Rattus norvegicus: one gene and its partners. The protein of the gene in region 3 purifies or fractionates together with the protein of the main gene of each other region. This does not show direct contact. Links are inferred from orthologs where the notes say so. Each region holds a gene or a part of one and is shown on either strand. Other genes may lie near its edges.

Region 1 (8,175 bases), on a different chromosome or scaffold from region 3:
ACTACTACTCTCTTCTCAACCCCCCTTCCCATGCTCCCAATCAACTTAACTCTATACTAGAGCCTGGATCCACTATGGCACCCACTCCAGCATACCATCCCACTCTTTACAAACATACTTGACGAAGGGTTAGGAAACAACCTAGCCTTATCTGCTTACTTAATCTTTTGAAACGAAACACTTTGGTTTGAGAAGCCAGTGGCTGCAAACAGGGACAAAAATGGCTAGAAAATGGTCTAAGAATGAGTCATGAGGGATTTGACCTTAACCAGTAAGAATTCAAAGAAACAAAGCTTTCTCAGGGAACAGAGCATGTATGCGCATACAGACACACTGGTGTTAAAGACAGCAGTCTACTATAGCAAGATATACCTACCACAATGACAAACAAGCAAACCTTACCCCATGGGCAAGGCGGTATCTTACACCTTTTAAGAACTGGCTAAGGATTATATTTTAAGACAGTTTGTGAAATGATCATCCCAGAATTTGGATGTTTATGTGGAATAAGAGCATCTTCTCGAACCATGTAAAATTTCCTAAATTGCCTCCCCCCAAAAACCTGTAGTATTCATCAGTGCTTGTGCTTATCTTATGAAATGCTGCTATTCAAAGATGCTCAGGAATGGTGCTGCTTATTTATAATCCCAGCATTGGGAAGAGGAAGGCAGAACAAAAACTCAAGGTCTTAGATAACATGCACAGCACAGAGGAACCAATCTGGAAATGATTGAGAAACTTCCTCCCTACTATCTTTAATTGTACCGGAAGATGCTATGGAGGCCACTTAGGAGAAGATATCAAAAGATAACCTTGGATCCCCCACGCTACGATGCCAACCTACCAGGCAAGATACGCCCACTGATATAATAGTGGCATGACTAATATGGGGGTAACCAATCAGTTTCTAATTGTATTTGGAACCTGATCCACAAGAAGGACTGATACCTTTTAAACCTAGTTAAAAGCCCAGTCGCTGCTGGGGAGATCTTAGGCCCTAGGTAGAACCGACCACTGTTGTTTTACAACATGTTCATGTTATTGATCTGCTTCTAAACATACACGTTTATACCCATTCGTAAGTTCTGCTCTGAACCTTTATCAGAGAAGTTTCTTTTTGTAATGAGCAGTAACTAATTCAGGACTCAGAAGTGCTAAGATTGGTGACAGTGCATGCTCAGTCCCAACTGGCCACACTCCCCTCAAGGCTTAGAGACTATCAAAGAGGACATAAAGAGACTCTAAGAGGAGGAGGAGAGAAAAGAGTGCTATGAGATGCTGTTGTCTGGGGGCATGGCCACTGCACTTCTGAATTCACAGCAGCTGTGGTACCTATGCAAGAGACCCGCTCGAGGTTATCTCAGACGACTATTGAGAAAAGGTGAGTCAATCTTCTTTAGGGGAAGGGAGGTGGCAGCTAGCAGGCTGCTTATGCTCCCACACCAGAGTCAACTTTTTAAGGTAGGGGAGCCGGAGGAGATGGAAGAGCGCTGGCTGCTACTTCAGAGGACCTGAATTCAGCTTCCAGCATCCACATCAGGTAGCTCACAACCATCCGTGACCCCAGCTTCAGAGAATCCTACACTCATGTCCACATGAAGACACACATAAATAATTACAAATATTCATCTTTTAATGAAGACACAAAGGTAGGAGGGAAGCATGAGGCAGGGGTCAGGTGGAGCAGAACAAAATAGTGGAGATGATCACGTTACCCTGTGTGTCTGTAAAATTGTCAAAAAAAATTTTTTTTTCTTTAGTTTAAAAAGTGGTTGAAGAGATGGCTCAGTGGTTGAGAACATTTCCTGAGGATCCAGGTTCAATTCCAGGAACCCACATTGCAGCTAATGACCATTTGTAACCCCTGTTCCGTTTCCAAAGGATCTGACACCCTCTTCTGGCCTCCACAAGCACCCAGGACCCAAGTAGTATACACATGTACCTACAGGAAAAGACTTACACAAAGAAAATCAATCTCTTTAAAAAATTAAATTTTAAAATGAATTCAAGATCCTCACGGTTGTACAGGGAGTCCAAAGCCATCCTGGGATGGATGAAAGAACCCAGTCTCAGAAGGGGTGTGACTGCTGGCAGTGGCAGCACAGCTCTGTAGTCCTCAGGTGCTAACAAGAGCCACCTCAACACAAGGATTTCAGTCAGTTTTCCTCTTTCCCCTGACCATTATGAGCAAGCACACACTTAGAATTCTCTTTTTGCAAAACTTTCTTCTTCAAAGTTCAATACTGTCAACAGCTAGGAACAGTAAAATGCAACACAAAACAATAAACAAATTTTATAATATAGTAAATGTTAGGAACAAAAAAGTTTTTTCTGTGAAATATCCAATTTCAAATCTAAATTATTGGTTAAAGTATTGCTAGAATTTAAGCAACCAAAAATTTTCTTAATGAATCTTTTTATGCTCTAAAAGGTCTGCTTTAGAATTTATTCTACAATCAAGAGACTTATATATATATTACTAGTTATGAGAAGTAAACTACAAAGTTATAACACTTATCAAGTCATTATTCATATTAAAGAAAAACTGTCAATCTCAGAATGGCTGAGTCACTCCTGAAGAAACCACTGTTGAATCCAAATAATTCAAATAAACCTTGCACACAATCAAGTAATTTTGCAAAATGAAATGTATAAACAACCTATACTTAAATGAAAGACATGTAAAGATCAGTTAAATAATTTTTGATATGGTCAACCAAAAGATGCACAGTGGATTCTAAATCACCCTACTTAGTGTAAAGCTGTGCATTGAAATACAGAGGCTTCCACTGTACCAAGTTACCTCTGGCTGACAAAGTAACACTAAGGAGAAAAGCAGCAAACCTCACTTCAACCCTCTGCACCTCTCCCTATCATATCCATCTCTCCCACCTTTCCACAAGTCTGACCGACTGGAGTCTATGCATCTCATCTCACTCCGATTTACTCAACCACTCCCTTTGCATGACTTTCCCCAGGCAACTTCAAGAGCCTTTTCCTTGAGTTTCCTACAGAAAAGAGCTTCTTTCAGACGTGCTCCTGCCCCGGTATCATTTACATGCCTTTTCCACCAGCATTGGGATTTTTGGTAACACAGAGCCTGTTGCATAAACACGGTTGTAATTATTTAATATCAAAAATGAGTGATCTACATGAATACAGCACAATTTCTGGTGGTTTTTAAAACCTGCCTCATAAAATACCTTTCACACATGGCTATGCAGTAAGGAAAATTTGCTCTACACTGTCAAAAGGGGGAAAGCAAACCACACAGAATATCGTCAAGATTTATATTAAATCGCTCCCACTAATGATGGCTACTACAGTACAAATACTCTGAGGACTTCTCAGCAAACTCCGCCCAACTCCCCTCCAAAAAAACTTAAATCAAGCAACCAGAAATTTGCTGCAGCAAAATACACTCGAAATACCGGAGGGTGAGACACTGTCAAGTGTCTCACATGTAGTCCAGGTTTATTTCAAACTTTGGGTGGTTCCTGAACTTCCAAAATGCCGGGATTATAAGTGTGGTTCACGACCCAATTCCAAGCATATTAAAACTGCCTTAAAATCACAATCAAGTTCTTGTCTAGTACGGAGGAACTTGTGAATGTACTGAAACGCCTGCAGGGCATGCTACTAGCAGAATACCACATGTTTAAGTCCTAAACTATTTAAAATATAAAAGTCTTAAGTATCTGGAACTATTTTAAATTGTTCCTACAAGGACAATTCAGCTATTTTCATGTGGACTCACTTTTACACTACTATAATGGGTTTACTTTTTCTTTTCCTACTGGAATCGATATGCGCTTAAGGGAAATTGTTTTCACCAGTTGCTGAAATTAAAACGCAAGGTATTAACTTTCCAAAGGGGGAGGGGGGCACTTTTCATTTAAAGATAGGAAGCACGTGTTCTTTTTAGCTCCTTAAAATGCAGTAAACTGTTCTGTATAACTTTTCGTTTCCTACACACTGAGAAGGCAAACGGCCTCGGATCTGAACAAGGATCACCAAACCAGTGATTGTCTATCACAGTCAGTGCTCCAAAGTCAACAGTTCCAGAGCTGTGTGGCACCTTATCAGCTTTCTCCGGGTATGCTGGGAAACCGCAAACGTAAGAGGGTCACAGACCCTGAGTCGTCTTCAGTAAAAAGACAGTGTGAACTCAAGGACTAGGAGCACAAGGGCTGGGTCCTCCGTACCTAAGGACGAGTCGACGTGACCCAAGGGACCCACTCCCATTAACCTACGACCATGCATGCCCCAGCTGACGCACAGCTTTCTGCCGCGCGCTTGGGGCCGTGCCAACACTCGGGGTCAGTCCCAGCCAGACACTGCTGGGTCTCCCGGCTTGACAGAGTCCGGCACCTGACAGGGAAGACTCCGGGCGAAGCCCGCGGTCTTGAGCGCCTCGCCCGCGGGCCGTGCCTACCCAAAGGCGCGGAACGTCGCCCGCTGGCGCCCGCAGACCCCGGAGCTCTTGCTCCCAGCCTCCGGCTCGCACAGCCTGGACCGCGCCGCGGCCGCCCTGGGGCAAGGACGCCATGCGGGCGGGCGGGCAAGGCGCGGGCGGGCTCCCGCGGCGCCCCCGTGGGCCGCAAGATGGCGGCGGCTCCGGGCAGAGCCCTCCGCGGCGTCCGTCCGGCTCCCTCCCCTCCCCTCCGCAGCCCGGCCCGGCAGCGGCGGACGCCGAGGCGCCGAGCGGAGGGACGCAGCGGAGCCGCGGCTCCGACGTTCGGTCCGGGCGTGGGGGAGGGGAGCGCAGCCCGTCCACCCCGCCGCCGCCCGCCGGCCCCAGCCCCGCTCGGGCGCGTCCCAGCCAGCCTACCTTTGAATTTGAGGTCTGAAGGAGGGTCGAGGACCAGGATCTGCTCGTGCTTCGCCATGGCCCCGGAGGCGGACGCCATAGGAGACAGCGCAGAGCGGGGGCGCGCCCGCGGCGGCGGTTCGCTGGCGGGGGCGGGGGACGGTGGCGGCGCCGGCTCCGCGGAGCTCTAGGACGGGGCCAGGCTCACGATTCCCGAAGCTCCGCGCCTGCTGCCGGGCCGCGGGTCCCGAGGGCTGCCTGTCGGGTCAGCAGCTCCGGGTGTCACAACTGACTCAACCCCACACCAGTCGCCGCGGCCACGCGCACTGCGATCCTCGGCTCCCCACGTGACGGCCTTACGTGTCTCCGTGCGCGCCCCCGCGGCCCAGAGCCCTCGTGTTGGCCCCGCCCTCCGGGCCTAACTGGGCTCGGCGCTGAGCTAGTGCGCCTGCGCACCTCCGACTTGGCCGCAGCTCCCTGCGCCGCGCTGCTGTCAATCTCTGTAGAGCGTGCAGGGGGCGTAGTAGGGCTGTTTGTGGGAGACGGGGTGCGCGGCGCCGGGCGAGGGGCGTCGTTCTTGGCGCCCTGGAGCTGCGAATGCGGGGCTGTAGCGCCGACTACGATGCTACCTCACAGCGTTCCAAGTGGAATTCCGAACGGAAGACAGTCAAGAAGTGCCGGGTACCTCGACTCCCAGCATGCCCCGTGCGGGCGGCGTCTCCGCGGGGGCTGCTGGGAACCGGGAAGGCAACCCGGGTCCGTTGGAGGCGAGTGGGTGGGGCCGCTGACTCTGCTTTTGGCTCGCCGAGGTTGTCTCGTCTGCATTGGAAAAAGAAAAGGGTTTTTGCAGGCTGCCTGGGAGCCAGGCATCCCAGGAGAGACGGCCCTTTGGGAAAGCGGCAGGGCGTGTCCGTCTGGTCTGCCCGGGATTCCTTCCGCCCTCTGCGGACGCGCGCTCTGTTCTAACCCTGCCGTTCCAAAGCTGCCTCCCGGATCTCCCTCCTGCCCAGCAAAGGGAAACACACCTCGCGCAAAAGCAAACGGGTTCCAGGGGAAATCTAGGCCAGGCACAAATAATCAAGGGTAGAAACCAAATGTCTGCTCCTACGGCGTGGAATTCACGTGCTGTATCTACAGTGTGGCTCATTCCAAATCTGTTTGCCTGGTTCTCGTGCCGTGCTAGGGACGAATTTTATCTGCATCACTTAGGAGAGCCTATACCAAATGAGAAAAATTGCCAAGCAAATTGCTGACAGATATTCAGCTCATTGCCAGGGTATCCAGGGACGGGAAGAGCAAACAAAACAAATGGATGTGCTGTAAAAATAAACCTTTATTGTGTCCTATGGTACTGCTTGAATTTAAATCTCTAGGAAGCTCCGTGCGAAACAAAGCACGTATTGATGCTTCTGCCACGGAAAGGCATCCTAGACTGTCTGGAAAGTAAATGTCGAAAATGGGCAGTCTAGAATACAGCTAATTAAACTTTTTCAACTCTCCGTCCCGTCACCTGAGAAATTTTTATGCCACCCTGGGTATATAGGATATAAAATTGTGGTATAAAACATTGATCACAAAAAAAAGTTTGTTTTCCTTCTTTGAATGCTTACTTTGTATCCTAACCTAAAAATGAAGTTTGAAAGAAAAAAAGATGAAAAAACTTACACATTTAAGACAAAAGCTAGCTTGTATACAAACGAGATAGGTTTGCGTGTCCATTCCTACATAAAAATTATTCCTGGCTGAATATTTGATAGACTAAACATTTTCAACTTTTTTGTAGTTGATTGCTATTTTGATTTTCTAATTACCAATGCTGAGAATCGGTTTTATATAAATACCTAGTGCAAAGTGGCAAAAAAAAAAAAAAAAGTTAGGTTTGGAAACATTTCAAAAATAGTTGGAAATTCTATCCCAATCACCAGCCAAATTTTTTGTGTGATTTTTTTTTAATGAAATGCAAGTCAGTAACCCAAACTGCAATTTTTAAAATCAAAGATTCTAACAATACAATCCAAAAATGTATAAATTTGACACGTGCTAAGAAGCAATAATAGGAAAATATTATATTTTTTCCTTAAGCTACTATGTCTTTTAAGAGTAGAAATCTAGGAGCAGAAAGGATGGCTGAGCAGTTGAAAGTACACGATGCTCTTGCAGAAGACTTTGGCAGCACCCACAGCAGACTGCTCTCATCTGCCTGTAACTCCCAACTCCAGGAACAGCCAATGCCTCTGGCCTCCTGGGGGCACTTGCGCTCAGGTGCACAGACCCTTAAGTATACATAATTAAAAATAATCTTTGCTTTTACAAGACTAGAAAACTACAATTTAAAAAAAAAAAACCACTGCAATTCATAAGACAGAAATCTCACATCTGGGCCAAGGCGTTTCAAAGATTACATACACAGAACAAAGTGCACATGACGTGTTCAGAACCAAGGCTGAAGTGATAACCCACAGTCCAACATGGATGAACTCCTACACAAATCCGATTGCACTACTCATTCGATTTTGATTTCTATTTGATTGTTGCACATTCAGAAACCTTTTGCTGTTGTCAAACTTTTCCAAACCCCCACAGTCAGTTACACAAAACCCACAGTTTAAGAACTTGAGGGTCTACACTCCTACCCCACCACCATCCAGTGCCAAACGTAAGGCATAGATCTTCAGTCATGAAGAACCTGGTAAGATAGAAGTGCTTAAATTGTTTTAAAAGCAAATGCTAATTTACTTATACTTTGAATTCTTTTTGTCCGCAAAAATTATTTTGAAATGTCAATTTTTAGAATACAAAAGTATATACAGTTTGAAAGATAGCTTGTGGGTTTTATTTTTTAAAAAAAATGTGTATGATAACCAGTCCATAGGATAGTGTCGCACATCTATTTCATTCTGAATTGAAAATCCAAGAGTCCTGACAAACTCCAATATCATGTTTGCCTAAGAACTGTTCTATGGACAGGCTCCATAGCTAAACAACCACTTCACAGCTGGTTAAACACCTCTTACTAGAAAGCATAGGCATCCTCAGTGTGCCAACAGCCAGTCAATAGGAGAGCATGTAGAAATTCCCAGCAACATGAGACTGTGATTGTCCACTCACCATGTGAACCCTGAACTGGGTGAGTTACAGAAACTTTTTCCCTATTTACATTATTTACCACTGAAATCAAATGCTTCTTAGTGTCACTAAAAAAAATTAACAGGATATGTGTGTGTGTGTGTGTGTGTGTGTGTGTGTGTGTGTGTGTGTGTGTTTGACCATATATGAATTATAACAAGCCAGGCATGATGGTGGTGGCATAAAGGGTGGGCCAACATAGCTTTAAGGCATCCACCTTTCCATAGTGAGACCTTATG
Region 2 (7,592 bases), on a different chromosome or scaffold from region 3:
ACCTGAACGCTGCAGCCCACAGCTGCCTGGTCCAGTGCCAGGGAACAGTAACGTGCACCCAGGCCAGAGCCGTTGTAAACGGATTAATTATCAATTACAATACTACCACTTACGTTAACTGACCAGTGTCTCCATCCCACGGGCTGCTGATACTCACCCTATCCTCAGCACGACATTGGAAGAACTTACTATCTAAATATAATTAGAGTCCTGAAGGGATTGTCAGGAACCAGAGTGCCCCCTCTGCTCCGAATTCCACTTCAAAACACAGGCTCAGATACTGGGAGACCTACGTTTGGCTTTAATCCACCTTTGATGGCAGGGCACACTGAGTAAAGTGAACCGTTTGTGGATACTTGGTGTCTTTAATGACTGCCCGGGTCCTGTGGACACTCTGCATGTGTAATGCATTTGGCACAGGGACAGTCAGTGAGCACAACTGAACTGCAAATGAAAGCTCACCACTTCGTGGGATTAGAATTCACAGAGGTTATACAAATACTAAACTTAATGCCATATTACAGGAAGCCTAAGTATTTTTGATGGGCCCATAATTCTCCCTCTTCACCTGCTGTGCGTGCAAGCCAACATGGTTTGGAATATTAATGGAGAAGTCCCTTATTATTAAACTGCATCATTAAAAACAAGACCCGCCATGGCTAACAGCCTTCTATGAAGACATCTTCAGAAATTGCACGCCTTAAAAAAATATTTCCCTACCATACGGTTTGAAAGCTACTTAGTTCTGTAAAGCTAGAGGGCTGCCCCAGACCCCCAGGAGTGATGAAAGCAGAGGCTCGCCCCTCCTCATGTCCTCTGGGAAGTCTCCTTTCTCCCTGCAGGTTCATCTCCACATGTCTGTGCTGCCACGGTGCAGAGCCACGGTGCAGGCCCAGCTCGGCACTTGCTGTCCTCTGAAGGAAGCAGCACAGGTCAGAGGCTGAGCTGCTGAAGTGTGACTTAGGCCCCCAGCGTCAGGTTCACTGGGAAGGTAAGCAAAGCACTGCACGGTGTGGTGGGGAACCCTACCCAGGCCTGCACAGCCACGATGCAGTGCAAAAGACAATGCCTTTCAAGGGCCAGCCCCACCCCCTACTCCAGCCCCTCACTCCCACCTCCTCACTCCTGCTCTTTCCCTTCCTCCCCCAGCCTCTTATAGGAGTGATTTATAGCCTCATCTAATAGCTAGCACCTCCCAGGGGTCTTCAGAAATGCAGGGACACACTAGCCCTGTCCTTTCCAGGTATCCTGTGACACTGCAGGTTCTAAGCAGAACCATGCAAATGCAGTTCAAGTTCATTTGATGGTCAACATTTTGTAAATTACATGTGACAATTTACTCATACACACACCTGCTTTAGGTCACAGAGGCCACACATGTAAAAATGCATAGAATTCCTTTGCTTTTTTTAAGGCAATGCAAACAGTACACAGCTTGTTCCCACTCAGGACTGGCTGGCTTTGTGCATGTACAGTGGCAACAGCAGAGTGTGCACAGGCGATCACTCACACTTAGGTTTCCTAACGGCTCCGAGAGCCGTAAGTGGGAGTGAGCATACTGAGGACGGTGTTCTCCTGTGTACCTGTCCTCTTCGGGGACTCTGGCTCACCATGTTGTCACCCCCATAGTGGCATTCCTCAAGGAACAGGCCTGGACAGACACAGTGCTTCCCAACCTGACATGTACACGTGTAAAGTGTGACATTTGTACACCCAAGACTGAACGGGCTGTACCACTCTCCTGGTCCCACTAGACCACCACCAACAGACAGGGCCTCCACAGCAATTCTTCCCACGTGCCTTCCCACCTCAGCAGGGGAAAGCTACAAAAACATTCTTTATTCAGTCATTCCTCCTGTCTCCACGACCCTGTGATGCACTGCACTTCAGACTCATTCTCAGGCAGCCAACCCCTGACTGGCGAGGCAGCAGCACAGAACCACAAAAGAATATCTGCCTCTAACGCAAATGGCTGATGGTCACATGATAAAGACCATGTGACAGGGAAGGAGCACGTCCATACTGGCTCTTTATTTTCTAATCTGCAGAGGGAAGACTCAACACAAAAGCTGCCTTCGACAAGGAGCCACTGATCAGTCAGAACACTCCTGTGGCAGGAAAGGACTTGATCCTAATGAAAGATACACAAATGCACACACAGGCAGACACACACATGCACACACACTGGCACTCAGGCACACACACATGCACACATACTCAAGCCACATATCATCTGTAACATTCATGAGAAGGCACACCTACACTACACAACTACCTGCTCAGATTATTTTATTCAGATAACCAGGCTGCCTGATTCATATGAAAATTGGTGATTTTCATCTGCTAATAAACTCAAATTTTCTGAAATGTGTAAACAATAGAGACTGGCAGATGGTGGTTAAAGAAAGAAGGCGGCTTAGACAGCTCAACACAAGGCCCTCTGGCCCCACACAAAGGGGGTCAGGGTATAAGAATCCAGCTGCCCTCATCTCAGCAAAAATCTTACGGCACTCAGAGGAATCAGCTACTGCATCCTGACCACTCCCTATTCCCAGCAGGCCAGACCCAGAGTACAGGCTGTCACACACCACTCCGTGATTGAAAATGGACACAAAATAGGTGGGACAATGTGTCCTGCACAGCGTACAACAAGGGGCCCGGCAGTAGGAGCTCTTCTACAGGACTGGCTACCAGCTAACTGCTCCTGACCTAAAATCTGACTCACGAGTCCAGGCCCGGCCTTGCAGACTCAGAGAGAAGCACACAGGGGGAGCTGGGGCAGGTGCTCCATAATGAGAGGCACCAACAGAGGCGAGGAGTCAGAGTCTGAGATAATGAAACACCTTGTATCTTTCCAAAGAGGTGAATCATTTTCTTTTAGGTGTCAAATGAATCCAAATGTATCCAATCAAACTCCACCGTGGAAAGACGCAGACAGGCACTCGCTTCAAACAAGAAGTGGCCTCTAATGATGCCGAAGCCAGGGACACTGAGTCATCAGTGTCTAAAGGACACGCACTCCCCCACAGCTCCTCTGAGCATTACTCACCAGTTCTAATGAGCTACAAGTCCACCAGTTTCTAGATACATGCAAACCCTAATGTCTCTCAGACTTCCTTAGTTCTCAATCGCATGTCTTAATCTGGATTTAGCAGCATCTTTTCAGCAGTGCAGCCTTGGAAAAATGTATGCAGCCTCCTAGAGAGGGGGGCGTCAGCACAAACAGGGCCCACGGCTTGCCTGGCACCTTTGCAGCCCTACCTCCTCAGCTTTCAGGGGGCAAAGTAGACCCCCAGTTACTAGATGGCATGAGCAACATCAGAAAGCATTTAGTATTAAGAAAACAATGCTATCAGCATTCCCCACAAAGCAGACTTGTTATTCAGTCCCTCTGATTTGTCGAGGTGCAAACTTAGTTCCAAAGGAACGAAGGCCCTGCTCTCCAGCCAGATCTACAGCCGCCACTTAATTCTGCACTGGCTACTAAGGTACAGAGGCCTGGAGACATGAATTACGGAAAGTCAGAGGTGATCAGGTACCCAGTGTGGTACCCGAGGTGAGACAGGACAGGAGGAGAGAAATCTGTAGCTTCCTGGACTACCCTGGACTACCCATTCTGACCAGGCTCGATGGCTCTGGGGCTTCTGGACCCCACCCATGACCTCTCGGTTTGGGACTTACCAGACACATTGAGAGAGGCCCCGGCATCAATGACCCCACTGTTGGGCCGCACGCAGTACCTGCGCGGCGCTGTGGTCTTCACTTTGAAACACACGTTCCGGTCTGTCGGGTTGCCCAGCTTTAGGTTGGTAGTGACAACATCAGTGAAGGGACCTACGTGGAGAGACAGAAAATGGTTGGTGTCCTGTGAGGAAAGTAGGAGCTCAGGAAGACAGGAGACCTCTGAGAAGTGAAAGGACCTAGACACAATGAATCCTACAACAGTCACTCATGATCAACACTTGCTTCCACAGAACCACAGTGGAATCCGGCAGAAACTGTACAAAGGACCAGGCATGGATCCCCAGTGACTATGAAGGGCAGAGTGTCAGGTGTCAGGTAGACTCTGGGAGGATGCGATTCTGTAGACAGGAAAACTCCTACCAGTGTGTCTGCAAGGGCAGCCGACTTCATTCAGAGCCCTGCTAGCAGCTCTAAGCACCAAGGTACCCAAGAAGCCTGGAGCCACGTTCCGTGCCCCATGGAGTCTCGTTCCATGGCCCTGGGCTGTTTCATCACTATTATGTATTCATTTCCTGCTTTATTAGATTTTTTTAATTAAAAAGTAAAAACATGCTTCTTAAAACAAACAGTGAAAGATGTATAAAGAGAAGTTAATAAGATTTCCCTTGTGCCTGAGGTAACTAATATTAACCATGTGGAGCTTGTCTAACCAGCTAGACTTAGTAGCAATGCACAAGGGTACACACCACACAACTGTCTCACATCCACTCATCTACACCGGAGCAAGTGGACATCTAATCACTGAGCCTCTTAGGAGTCAACTGGGGAAAGGTGAACTGCAAGACCGCTTTCTCTCATCATGTGTGCATGCGTGTGTACGCTGACGACTGTGTGTAGCTATGGAGCTAACCCGGGGACCTGTGCACAGACCCAGTCTCTGAGCTACATGCCCAGGCCCACACCACTTCATGTTCACCTACTGTCAACAGGAGTGGCCCACCTTTGTTTCCGATAGGCAGGCTTTCCCCTCCCCTCCGCCTTCAGAGCTACAAGCAAGCAGGGGAGGGGGACTCTGTTTCCGTGGTTACAAAGAATATCTACAGCTCACCTGTCACATCTCAGAAGACCCAACAGACACTCGATGGTGTGTTCTAAATGCTTGCAGTGAGTGACTCTCGGCTGCCGAGGGCAGGATTATCCTTTGTCCATCTGAGCCCCCAGCCCTGTGTCTGGACTCAGTAAAGGTCTCCAGACACTTGCACCAAGAAAAAAAAAGCCACTCACCAGTCATTTCTAGAAAAATGAGTGCCTCAGGCAGGCTTCCTCTGAGGTACTCAGAGTATGAAATATCCACTGAATTAAAGCTTAGCTTAAACACAAATGGTGGCTGAGGGGAAGGAAGCCCATGGCACCCAGTAGAGCTCCAGGGAAGCACTGAGTGGTCCACACAGAACAGATGTGCACACCGGGGACAATGAGCGTAAGACAATCCCCACGTTTGCCAATGCACAATCTTATCCGTAAGGACCCCAGACAGTCTGTGCCTGCAACCTCACTGTGCCAAACACGAGCACTCCCAACATGGCTGCTCAGCTTGGCTCCTTCGCACAGTGGTCACTAGTCATACATACAACCTCGAAATGGAAGCCTGGTGCCATCTCCATGCAGGAACTGGGGGTAGGGGCAACTCGGTGATAGGTACCTGCTACTCCACCCTCCCTACTGGGCCTGTGGCTGCCTCTCTCTGCCCGCAGGGATGCACGCATGCACTGCAGGACATGTGGTAAGATGGCCACATCACCCAGCATTGGGCAATCATTTATCCAGAAGCTCTTCTCATACCAGGGACAGCACTGTGGACATTTGAACACCTGGAGGGGGTCTCCTCCAGCTACCTATCTTTCAAGAAGCCTGGCTCTGGTCCTCTAGGAACCAGGCTGAGGCCAGGAGAGAGGACTTCCTGAAGGATCCAGAATGTAGCTGCATCTAGAACTGATTCCACTGCAAACCAACCCCTCCCCCAGCTGGGAAAGCATGGGAGACAGCTAGACTGTGGCCAAAGGGTTTGCAGCCACAGGGAGGGAGTGCTAGATGCTGGAGGCAACAAGTTCTTGGCCTCCAGAGAGAAATGAGACACTGGGCGATGAGATTGTCCAGGGGCGCCTGGGGTAGCAGCTCTCGGGAATTCTACCCTATCCCACCTACACTGCATGTAGGCTGACTCATGGCAAGATGGAAAGGCTGATACCCCTTTACTTAAGGTGGGGATCACTTCAGTAAGCACAGGCTATAAAAAGAGAGCTAAAAACAGCTCTGCTTTCCTAGGGCCAAAGAAAGTGGTAAGCCCTGCAGGCCTGCATGGGTACAACTTGCAAGCTTGTATTTCATAAAACACACCAAAGCCTGCCCTGCAAGTGTGGACTTTCAGGCAGCCAGGGAGTTCTGAGGAGAGAAAGTCACTCATGAAAGGGCCCGTTGCCAGCATCAATAGGTCTATGGCAAAAGGGCCAGGCACAGTGGGTCATGCCTATCTTCCTGCATTTGGGAAGGTGGAAGCAGGAACAGAAGTTGAAGATCATCTTTTGTAACACGGCAAATTCTAAGTCAATCTACAATACAAAGATAAGCCCCATCTGAAAAAAAAAAAAAAAGAAGAAAAGAAGAAGAAAAATATACAGAACGGCCGCTGAGCTTCAAGAGTATGGACGGACACACTGTCAGATCAGATATATAACATACCCACCGTGGCATACAGACATCTCACCATGGAGAAGATAGGACACTTACTATGCCCACCAGTGTCCAGTGTCTCCCCTTCTGCTCCTTTTCTGGGGTGGGGAGTCCAGTTGTAGACTTCCCCATCTTCTGGGATTCTACAATCATAAGCTAGACTCCACTGACTGCGCACACTGTGGTGAGTTACCCAGGCTGCCTATTATGGCAATATAAATGGTATTTCAATTTACATGAATCACATAAAAGATGGCCTAAATTATTAAAAGACACACAATATTGGTAACAGTGAGTGGGATAAAATAAGCTGTATTTCTTCCCTAGCATCCCGCCTTGGGTCTGGGCACTAATTTGTAGAACTCTGGAGGGAGCCATGCTGGAAATATATGCGGTGCAGACATCACTGGTAGAACAGCAAAGTCTCACGGGTAAAAAAATCAAGGCATTTTGCAAAAACAGGCCAATCCTCTTCGCCCCACTCTGGGCAATTTACTTCAAGAATTTTATTGAAAATAAATTCGATTTGAGTAATTACAGGAGATAAACCATGTTAGTGCTTGCCTTTCCCCTACTAATGAATTAGAACACACAAAAACCTCAATAAAAATGATGGGAGGCTTATGAGCATCGTTCAGATTTTTCCCAGTCACTTTCGTTTCATAAAACTGCCATTTCCATTAAAGCGTTATGTAAAAGATGGGATTTTATCCCACAAACATGCATATTTATCACCAATGAACTTAAGCATTGCTTATGAAATACAGTCAATTTTACAAATGAAATCTTCAAAAGTTGTTTTTTTTTTTCTTTTAAGAGATTGGAAGAAATGATTTGTGTCTCCAGAGTGGGAACACATCACATCCTTTAATTACTCTCTTCTTCTATGTCCTCTGTCCCTTGATCCAGATGTCTGGGTGAAATTAGAAACTCCACATCTCCCAGCAAGAATGAGTGCAGAGAAGCAACCCCAACCTGGAGTCGATTCCCAGTGTGTTTAACATTCTCTCCTTCTATGTAACAGCTGAATGGATTCCTTCTTCCCCTGTTACAGCTGGGTGCACCTGCACTCATTTATTACGGTGGATAAAGATGCTCATAAAACAGCATAACTAACAGAATATAAACTCCTCCACTCGTTCTTGGAGGGCTTAGATCCAGGAAAGCAAGGTCTAAAC
Region 3 (7,592 bases):
AGCAGCAGCAGGAACTGCAACAGTGGCAGGGAATGATACACGGGAAGACAAGCCACAACTCTGCTTTTTCTGTGCCTAGGCTGATGGATACATTTTCTAACTTCTAATATCAAATTCTCTCTAACGGGTTATTGTAGCTCTTTGTATTCTGATGATAATTGTATCCCTCAAAATGGTTTGCATGAGAGGGTCCACATGTAGCTTCTGGGAGCCTGCCCCCAGTTAATTCTGATTGGTTAAAAAAAGATGCCAGCAGCTAATAGTTGGGAAGAAGGGAAAGAGGGGTTTTAGGTTTCCAGGGCTAGGAGCCTCGAGGAGGAAGAAGAGGAGAGAAGCCAGGCTTGAGAATGCAGGACAGAGAGGCAGAGCCACCATGTAAAGGGGCTGGGAGAGAGCGGCCCAGAGGGCTCTCAATTGGGTCAGGAGCAGCCAAGATGGAGCATAGAAATAAGTAAGTAGTAATTCGGAATCATCAGTGGGAAGTAGACTCTAACAGCAGTTGCCCAGCTATTGTGCTACACAAGGCAATTAAATTATAAAGGCTGTGTGTGTGCGTGTGTGTGTGTGTGTGTGTATGTGTGTGTGCGTGTATGTGTATGTCTGTGTGTGTGTCTGTGTGTGTGTCTGTGTGTGTGTGCATGTGTGTGTGTGTGTGTGTGTGCATGTCTTTCATTTGGGAACACAAACCATTGAGGCAGGAAGCAATCTTGCATCAGAATATATTGAAAATAATAATCCTACAGGTTATAACACAAAAAGAGAGATCAAACCAATAAAAATTATATAAATTTACTGGTTTATTTTAGACACTTTATTGGACGAGAACCAAGAGTTTCTGGAAGCCCTTTTCTTCCTCTCCTGAGGAGAGCTGACCTCCCTTTCCCGGAGAGGAAAGCAGCAGGACTTCGTACTTCGGAGTGTGGGACAAGATGCTGCCGGGAGTTCCATCATCTTCCTGACAGACACAGGGTCACTATCGGGTCTTCACCACATCCTGGCCGGCCAGGGTTCTCCACAGTGGTAGAAACAGCTCCCCCATGAGCCAGGGCATAAAGGAAAGATGACCTAACAGAGGAGCAGATGGATACAGTAGAAGCCGAGACAACATGGAGGAGTCCAGGAGCATAACTGGAGGCAAGGAATGCAGGCTTGCACAATTTCCAGGAGCATCTACAGAGCACCTTTCCCTCAACATTTGTGTGCTTTCTACTCCCCAGAGATTAGCATACACAGAAATCCTAAACACACAGCCGCTTCCCTGGTCGGGAAGTGACCGATTGACCACACGTGGACTCTGGCTTATATGCCTATTTGAGAGTGTTCAAGTTCTGTGAGAAATAGGTATTAGGTGTGATTTTGATTCATTTGGAAATCCATGGAAGCACTTAATGAAAACTCACCATTTTCTTAAAAGAAAAAAATAACCCACTAGTAGAGGCTGATGTAGTGCAGAGTTCAAACCCTGGTGTGCTGTGCAAATCCCTCATTGCACACTGTTGAGAATCTTCACTCTTAGGTCATTTCACAGGTGCTTAGTGCATCGCGCGCTGACCACCCTCAGTCTGTAGAGTTTCGTTGTTGGCTGGGCATGATTTTCAAATTATTGCTGATGGCTAGAATCTCACAAAGAAAAAACAATTCCCCAACTGCTTCCAAGTGGGAACTGGGAAAATTGCACAACGCAAGTGCCAACGGGAGCTACCATGCCACAGCCAGTCCTCTGATGACGGATAACTGCTCCGCAGATTCTGGAATTCACCAGTGAATGAACTCAGACTAAAGGCACAAGCAGCCCCGGCAACCAATGAGCTGGGAACCAGCCGATGAGCCCAGGGGAAGCTGGGAGCTCTGTACACATCAGCCTGCACCAGAAGATTCCTGGTGGGGAGAAGCAAGTGACAGGGATCCCGTGAAGCTTACTAGGAAGGTGAAATCCCGGGAAGGTCTGGCTAACCCTAGTAAAAGTGTGAGCAGTTTCGCACACCAGCTCTTAGGTCCCGAGGAAGGGAAGCAGCATGAGACACAAGGTGGATCTGAGCTGTGCAGCCAGAGGCACGGTGCTGGGCTCAGCCTCAGTCCTGACAACGACTCTCCATGCAGCAAGTTCTCCCTTGTGGAATCTGTCCTCCAACCGCCTCTCCTGTCTGGAAAGCATCAGTGTGGGCTGAGCAGTCTCTGGTGCTGAAGCTGAACGAGGCACTAAGAATGATGGGGCTTTGCTTCTGGGCAGGAATTCGGGCTCTTCACTTGATCATCTGTGTCTCCTCATTTGCATCATAGAACTCTTCCTCCTCTTCCTCACTCTCGCTCCCCAAGCTGCTGGCCTTGCCCAGGGGCTGCAATGGCAAAGGAGATCTTGTAGAAGCCGTAAAATGTGCAAAATGACATCACGACAGGTCCAAATGAGAATTACCACCCAGGCACTCAAAGAGTGATTTCACTGTTGTTTTGAGACAGGGGCCCAGGCAGACCAAGTCAGCCTTCAATCTGCTAAGGAGCTGAGATCAACCTCAGAACTTCCTGCCTCCACCTCCCAAGTGCTGGATTTACAGGGGTGCACCACAACTCCCAGTCTTAGATCGTTCTGAGGATCAAAGCCCAGGGCACCTAGATGGTTACAGCATATGTCTGTTTACCTGTGGAGGATCCAAGGTCTGTAGAGACAGCGCTTCCTCCCCTAACCGCCGATATGAGTACATTTGAAGATCAGAGAATGTCTCCAGCAAAGGACTGTTCAGAGTCTCTGGCAAGAGCAGGCTCAGGAGGCCTGAGGTCAGGCCTGTGGCTCCAAACACGATGAAGGGCAGGGACCACTGCACGTCCTTCTGTGGAGACAAAAGCCAAACAAATCTATCAGCCCCTCAGCAGGTGACATCAACAGTCCTGTGACCAAGAACTGCCAGGTTTGCTGTATGGTCAGCCCCTTCTCACAAGAACACCACACACTGCGTTTTCTTTGCTCTGAGACAACCATCCAGGAAACGGGTATACAGAGTGAGCCAAAGCCTTGGACCAACCGTGTGAGGCAAGGCATGGCCATGGTCACCTGTGAGCCTGACAGGCTCACATCAGCAGAGCTCCTAGGAACTCTCAAGTCCGGCTTCCACCTGAGGGCAGAGTCTGCTCCACACTGGTCTTCACATTCTCTTCATATGAACTATGGACTATCTACTGCTAATAAACTTTGCAGTGGTCAGATGTGTTGTCATGACATCATTGAGAGTCCTAAGATCAAAAGAACAGAAATCCAAAGAAAAAGGTCTGTGGCACACAGAGTTTGTAAACTATTTGAGTTGAATGTGGTGCTACCAGGAATTGCTTCAGAGATTCACAGGGAATTCTCAGAGAAAGTCGATGATTTCTTTCAATGCACAGGCTCCCGACCACAGTGAGCTGGCTCTAGCGTTTAGAATATTTCTTTTCAAGATCCTCTAGAAAAGTCCTTAAAGGCAGTGTTGAAACCATAGTAGAAGTAATAACATAATGATATTTTATTATATAATAAGATACCTCATGACATAATACTCTAAAGACTATTTCAGGATTTTTAACTGTGTACATGTGTGTGCACGGATGTGCTGGTGCCCACGGCAGTGATGGAGGCCCTGAAGTTATAGGAGGTCAAGGGCTGCCTGACACAGTTCCAGGGATCAAACTTGGTTTCTTTGAAACAACAGGTGTGTTCTAAACCATCGAGCCTTCTCTTCAGTCTCCTTTATAAACGTTCTAGGATTTGGTGTTTTTGTTGGTGTACATGTGGAAATGTCCCGGACCCTTCCAGAGGACAATGAATAATGAAGGGCCATACTGACCCTCAGAATACAATATCATGGCTGCCACACGTCATGACAGCTCAAGGTCTCATGCCTGATTTTATAATTGTCTACCAGTTAAGACATCTATGGTCCCTTACAGCGACTATGGAGGGTTACATGCAGTAATATGTGCAAAGTACTTAGCATAGAACCCAGTACTCCATAGATCATACACATTAGTTGACTTCTGAGTGTTGATGGGAGGGGGAATGCTGGCATCACCAAACCCTCCAATGAGTCCAGGTGAACAAAACGTCAGATGCACCAGGGGTGAATGCCCCAGTCCATCCACCCTGACAGAGTACGGCGCTCTGTGTCAGAAAGGCACAAGCTTGGCATTTGTGTAGCCACTCTTGGCCGAAATCACTCATTATCTCTTTCTACACAAAGCACAAATGGTCGCCAAAGCAGAGGACCAAGAACAGAGACAGGAGGTACAAACCAACCAGAGAGGGGACGAAGGGAGCAATGATCCCACCGACTCGGGAGAACATGGAGCACGTTCCGAGGCCAACGTTTCTAGAAGGCAGGAGAGAAACCAAGTTAATTAAATAAATACAATCATTAAGTCTCAGGGGGACAACTTTAATACTGGGTAGGAAGACTATTCCGAATCCAACATAGTAAATTCCTAAGGAGAAGGTACAGTGCCCCATTAGACCTTTCTATGAGGCCAAGGAGTTCTGAAATGACATCACCCTGTGCCACAGCACTGGACACATGAGGCTTTTCATCACTTGAATGTGACTCATGAGGATAAGGAAAGGAACTTTTATTTTAAGAACAAGGTCTTGCTATGCTGGCCCTGGCTGGTCTTGAACTGTGCCAATCCTCTTGTCTTCCCCCCAAGTTCTTCAAACTGAAGATATGGGCCATCATACTCAGCAGTGACAGACTTTTAAAAAATGTATTTATTTTTATGTATATGAATGCTTTGACTATATGTATGTGCATCATGGCCATGCCTGGGACTGCTGCAGTTAGAAAGGTGTTGGATCCCCTGGGGCTGAATTTTCAGGTAGTTGTGAGCTGCTATGTGGGTGATGGGGATTGAGTCTGGGTCATCTTCAAGAGCAGTCAGTGCTCTTAACCATCTCCAGTGTCTGTAATTTTAATTAATTTAAGTCTCATGAGGATAGCAATAGCCGTATGGGTCAGAAGATGAACAGATTGAGCATCTGAGTGTGTCTCATGGAAGGAGTGAGCTTTAGTTCTTCTGTCAGTTAAGAGAGCTACAACCAAGGTTTTGTGAGCCAAAATCTTTGACTTTTTTAAAAACTCAGCTAAGTGTTAAAAGCCAGGCATGTTAATAGAAATGATGTGTGCACACTGTCAGGTAACCCAGAACAACAAGCCAGGGATCAGAGAATGGCGCCGTTTCCAGATAGGCTAGCCCTCCACTTCTGCCTCAGCCTTTCTGTTGGCATGGGAAGGCGTTCCTGTGTGTGTGGATGGACGGTGTGGCACCCATGTTGCAGAAACAAGGATGAGGAGACACCAGCAGAGCAAGCTGTTTCTGGGAAAAGACTTCAACAGGTGGAAAGCACTCGGAGGCCTCCTGCTTGAAGAAACAGAGGTTTTCCAAATGCTCTTTAGGGAGACTGGCATAGGACTGGCACAGGGAGGACCAGCCCAGGGCACAGGAAGCAGAGCTGAGGCTGCAGCCCCATCCTGAATCTGGGTTTGCCCTTGTCCTCATGAAGGGCTATTAGGATTGAAGATGTTCTTTCTTATATAAGTCTCCACTCACTTCCCCTCTAAAACAACTGACTCTCAGAAACTGTAAGCAAGCCTCCACGTAAATGCTTTCTTTCATAAGAGTTGTCTTGGTTGTGGTATCGCTCACAGCAATAGAACAGTGCCTAAGACAATGGGAGATTGAATGCTCTCATGAGCGACACATGCCCACGCAAAGGCAGGGAAGGCCATCTCCGTCCACAGCAGCACCGTTAACAAAGCTGGACGGCATGAATGGGGTACGGCAGCAGGAGAGAGCCTTACCGGATGACAGTGGGGTACAGCTCAGAGGTGTAGATGTAAACAATGTTGAAGGCAGCGCTGATGGTCAGCTTTCCCAGCAGGGACAAGGAATGGCTGTTGACCACGGCAAACACACCTGTGTCTGAGGAGCAGAGACAACACGAGTGAAGTCTACGGGCTTTGTGGACCATTCAAAACCAAATGCTCAAAATACCAAAGTGTTCCACTGTGGTGAGAGATAGGCCCATGACATTTTTGAAAGAAGATATGACGATGTTCTGAAGAGAACAAAAGGTGAAAGAAATTTGGAAAAAAACTTGTTTTTTCTCCATTTCTTGCTTGGGTTATTAACTGATAATTAGATTTGAATTTCTTATTCTGTTTAAATAAAATATAAATGCATTCTAGTTTCACATTCTTAGTAAAATAGTATCCGGTGGTTCTTTCTTTTATTTTCTGGGTCTCTATAGTTGTTATCTGTCTCCAGTGAATCTCTTCCTTCAAAAATCCACACACCTCTGCCTTCTAAATAGCAACTTTCTCCTTGTGAGGAGAAAACAGGTCTCAAGCTTTCTGTGCCTCCTACAGTTACCATCAGCCTTGCCACTGATCTTCCTCTCCAACTCCCAGCACCCAGCTGACTCCCTGCCTCTCCTCAAAGTCCCCAAGGGCCAGCAGCACTGTCCCAATCTCAGATGTAATTGCCTCTCTTAGTGACACTTATGCCAAGCAGAAGACCTTGTCCCCTCCTTGGGACCACACAGCTCATGAGCCCCTCTTCCCTTAATATCTCAGTGATGCTGCTCCTCCCGCTGCTCCTCCGTATAACCGCTGCCTCTTCCTCCCAGCCCACCGACCAGCATGCCTCGGGCGCTCTCTTGTTACCCACTTTCCGTCTTGTTTGCAAGAGTGTATTTCAAGGTATTCTATGCTAAGGTTGGTGTCCTATTTATTCCTGTCTGACCCAGAATTCCCTGTGGGATAGGGCACACCGCTGATTACTAAGTATCTACTGAACTAAGAGGCACTGGGACTCTAGCTGGCATGAACGTGGTGGGAAGAGTCTGTGTTCATGCTACCTCAATTGCCAGTGAGGAGGGCATATCCCATCCCCAGTCCAAAACCATGTTCGTCTACTTTAACATGGTGTCAGGAGACCATGAACAGGCATCTTAAACATCTAGGATGACATTCAGTGCTGCCAAGATATTTGGGGATGACCATGGCTGCTGGTTTAAGTGATATATATATTTAAGCTACAAGGTCTCTCTAGAAAGAGTCCATGCCTCCCAGCATTTGCTCCAAGGCATGTTTCTAGGACCCTGATCTCACTTCCTCTACTAACAATTTAACTAGATTATTCACTTCACCATTTCAACCAATAATTAGGATATGTGAGCCTCTCCACTATTTTCTAGAAAACTGAATCAGGAAAAAGTATTGAGTAGCAGGGATGAAAACAAAACTATTTGTGTAAACTGAAGTTTCCTCAAAACCAAACGATCGAGACACCTACGCTGAAGACTCTAGGCATTCCTGAAGAGTTAGAATGATGTGGATCATAGTTCTGCCATCAGGCTTTCTTAGCGCCCCCTGCCCCGCCCCTGTGCTTGATCTATCAAAGTGTCTACTATAAAACAAAGCCCTTGGAAATGTGCCACGTCTTCCACCAACTCCAAGGACAGGACTACAACCAGAGAGCATCTGAAGCCCACAACACAACTGTTGTTTGGATAAGTTTGTTCCAACCCATCCGCCTGCAGCACCCCACAAACGCAATTGGTGGGGACATGTTTA

Evidence for each region.
Region 1: the proteins of Slc22a15 (region 3) and Vapa purify together in Homo sapiens (co-immunoprecipitation; 3 studies listed by BioGRID and IntAct, with this or other methods). This does not show direct contact. The link is inferred for Rattus norvegicus from reciprocal best matches to the Homo sapiens genes SLC22A15 and VAPA.
Region 2: the proteins of Slc22a15 (region 3) and Vapb purify together in Homo sapiens (co-immunoprecipitation; 3 studies listed by BioGRID and IntAct, with this or other methods). This does not show direct contact. The link is inferred for Rattus norvegicus from reciprocal best matches to the Homo sapiens genes SLC22A15 and VAPB.

Annotation. Positions count from the first base shown.
Region 1 is NC_086027.1:112,649,591-112,657,765, forward strand, and holds the start of Vapa (vesicle-associated membrane protein-associated protein A), read right to left. Parts: upstream 5,142-8,175; 5' UTR 4,911-5,141; coding exon 4,832-4,910; intron 4,633-4,831; exon of another isoform or gene 4,436-4,632; intron 2,254-4,435; exon of another isoform or gene 2,044-2,253; coding exon of another isoform or gene 2,019-2,043; intron 1-2,018. UniProt on the Homo sapiens protein: Endoplasmic reticulum (ER)-anchored protein that mediates the formation of contact sites between the ER and endosomes via interaction with FFAT motif-containing proteins such as STARD3 or WDR44.
Region 2 is NC_086021.1:182,972,071-182,979,662, reverse strand, and holds part of Vapb (vesicle-associated membrane protein-associated protein B), read right to left. Parts: intron 3,835-7,592; coding exon 3,682-3,834; intron 1-3,681. UniProt on the Homo sapiens protein: Endoplasmic reticulum (ER)-anchored protein that mediates the formation of contact sites between the ER and endosomes via interaction with FFAT motif-containing proteins such as STARD3 or WDR44.
Region 3 is NC_086020.1:191,986,630-191,994,221, forward strand, and holds the end of Slc22a15 (solute carrier family 22 member 15), read right to left. Parts: intron 5,938-7,592; coding exon 5,817-5,937; intron 4,335-5,816; coding exon 4,262-4,334; intron 2,826-4,261; coding exon 2,637-2,825; intron 2,337-2,636; coding exon 2,244-2,336; 3' UTR 780-2,243; downstream 1-779. UniProt on the Homo sapiens protein: Organic zwitterion/cation transporter with apparent specificity for amino acids and their derivatives. Has low affinity for its substrates and may regulate their flux across the plasma membrane at high substrate concentrations.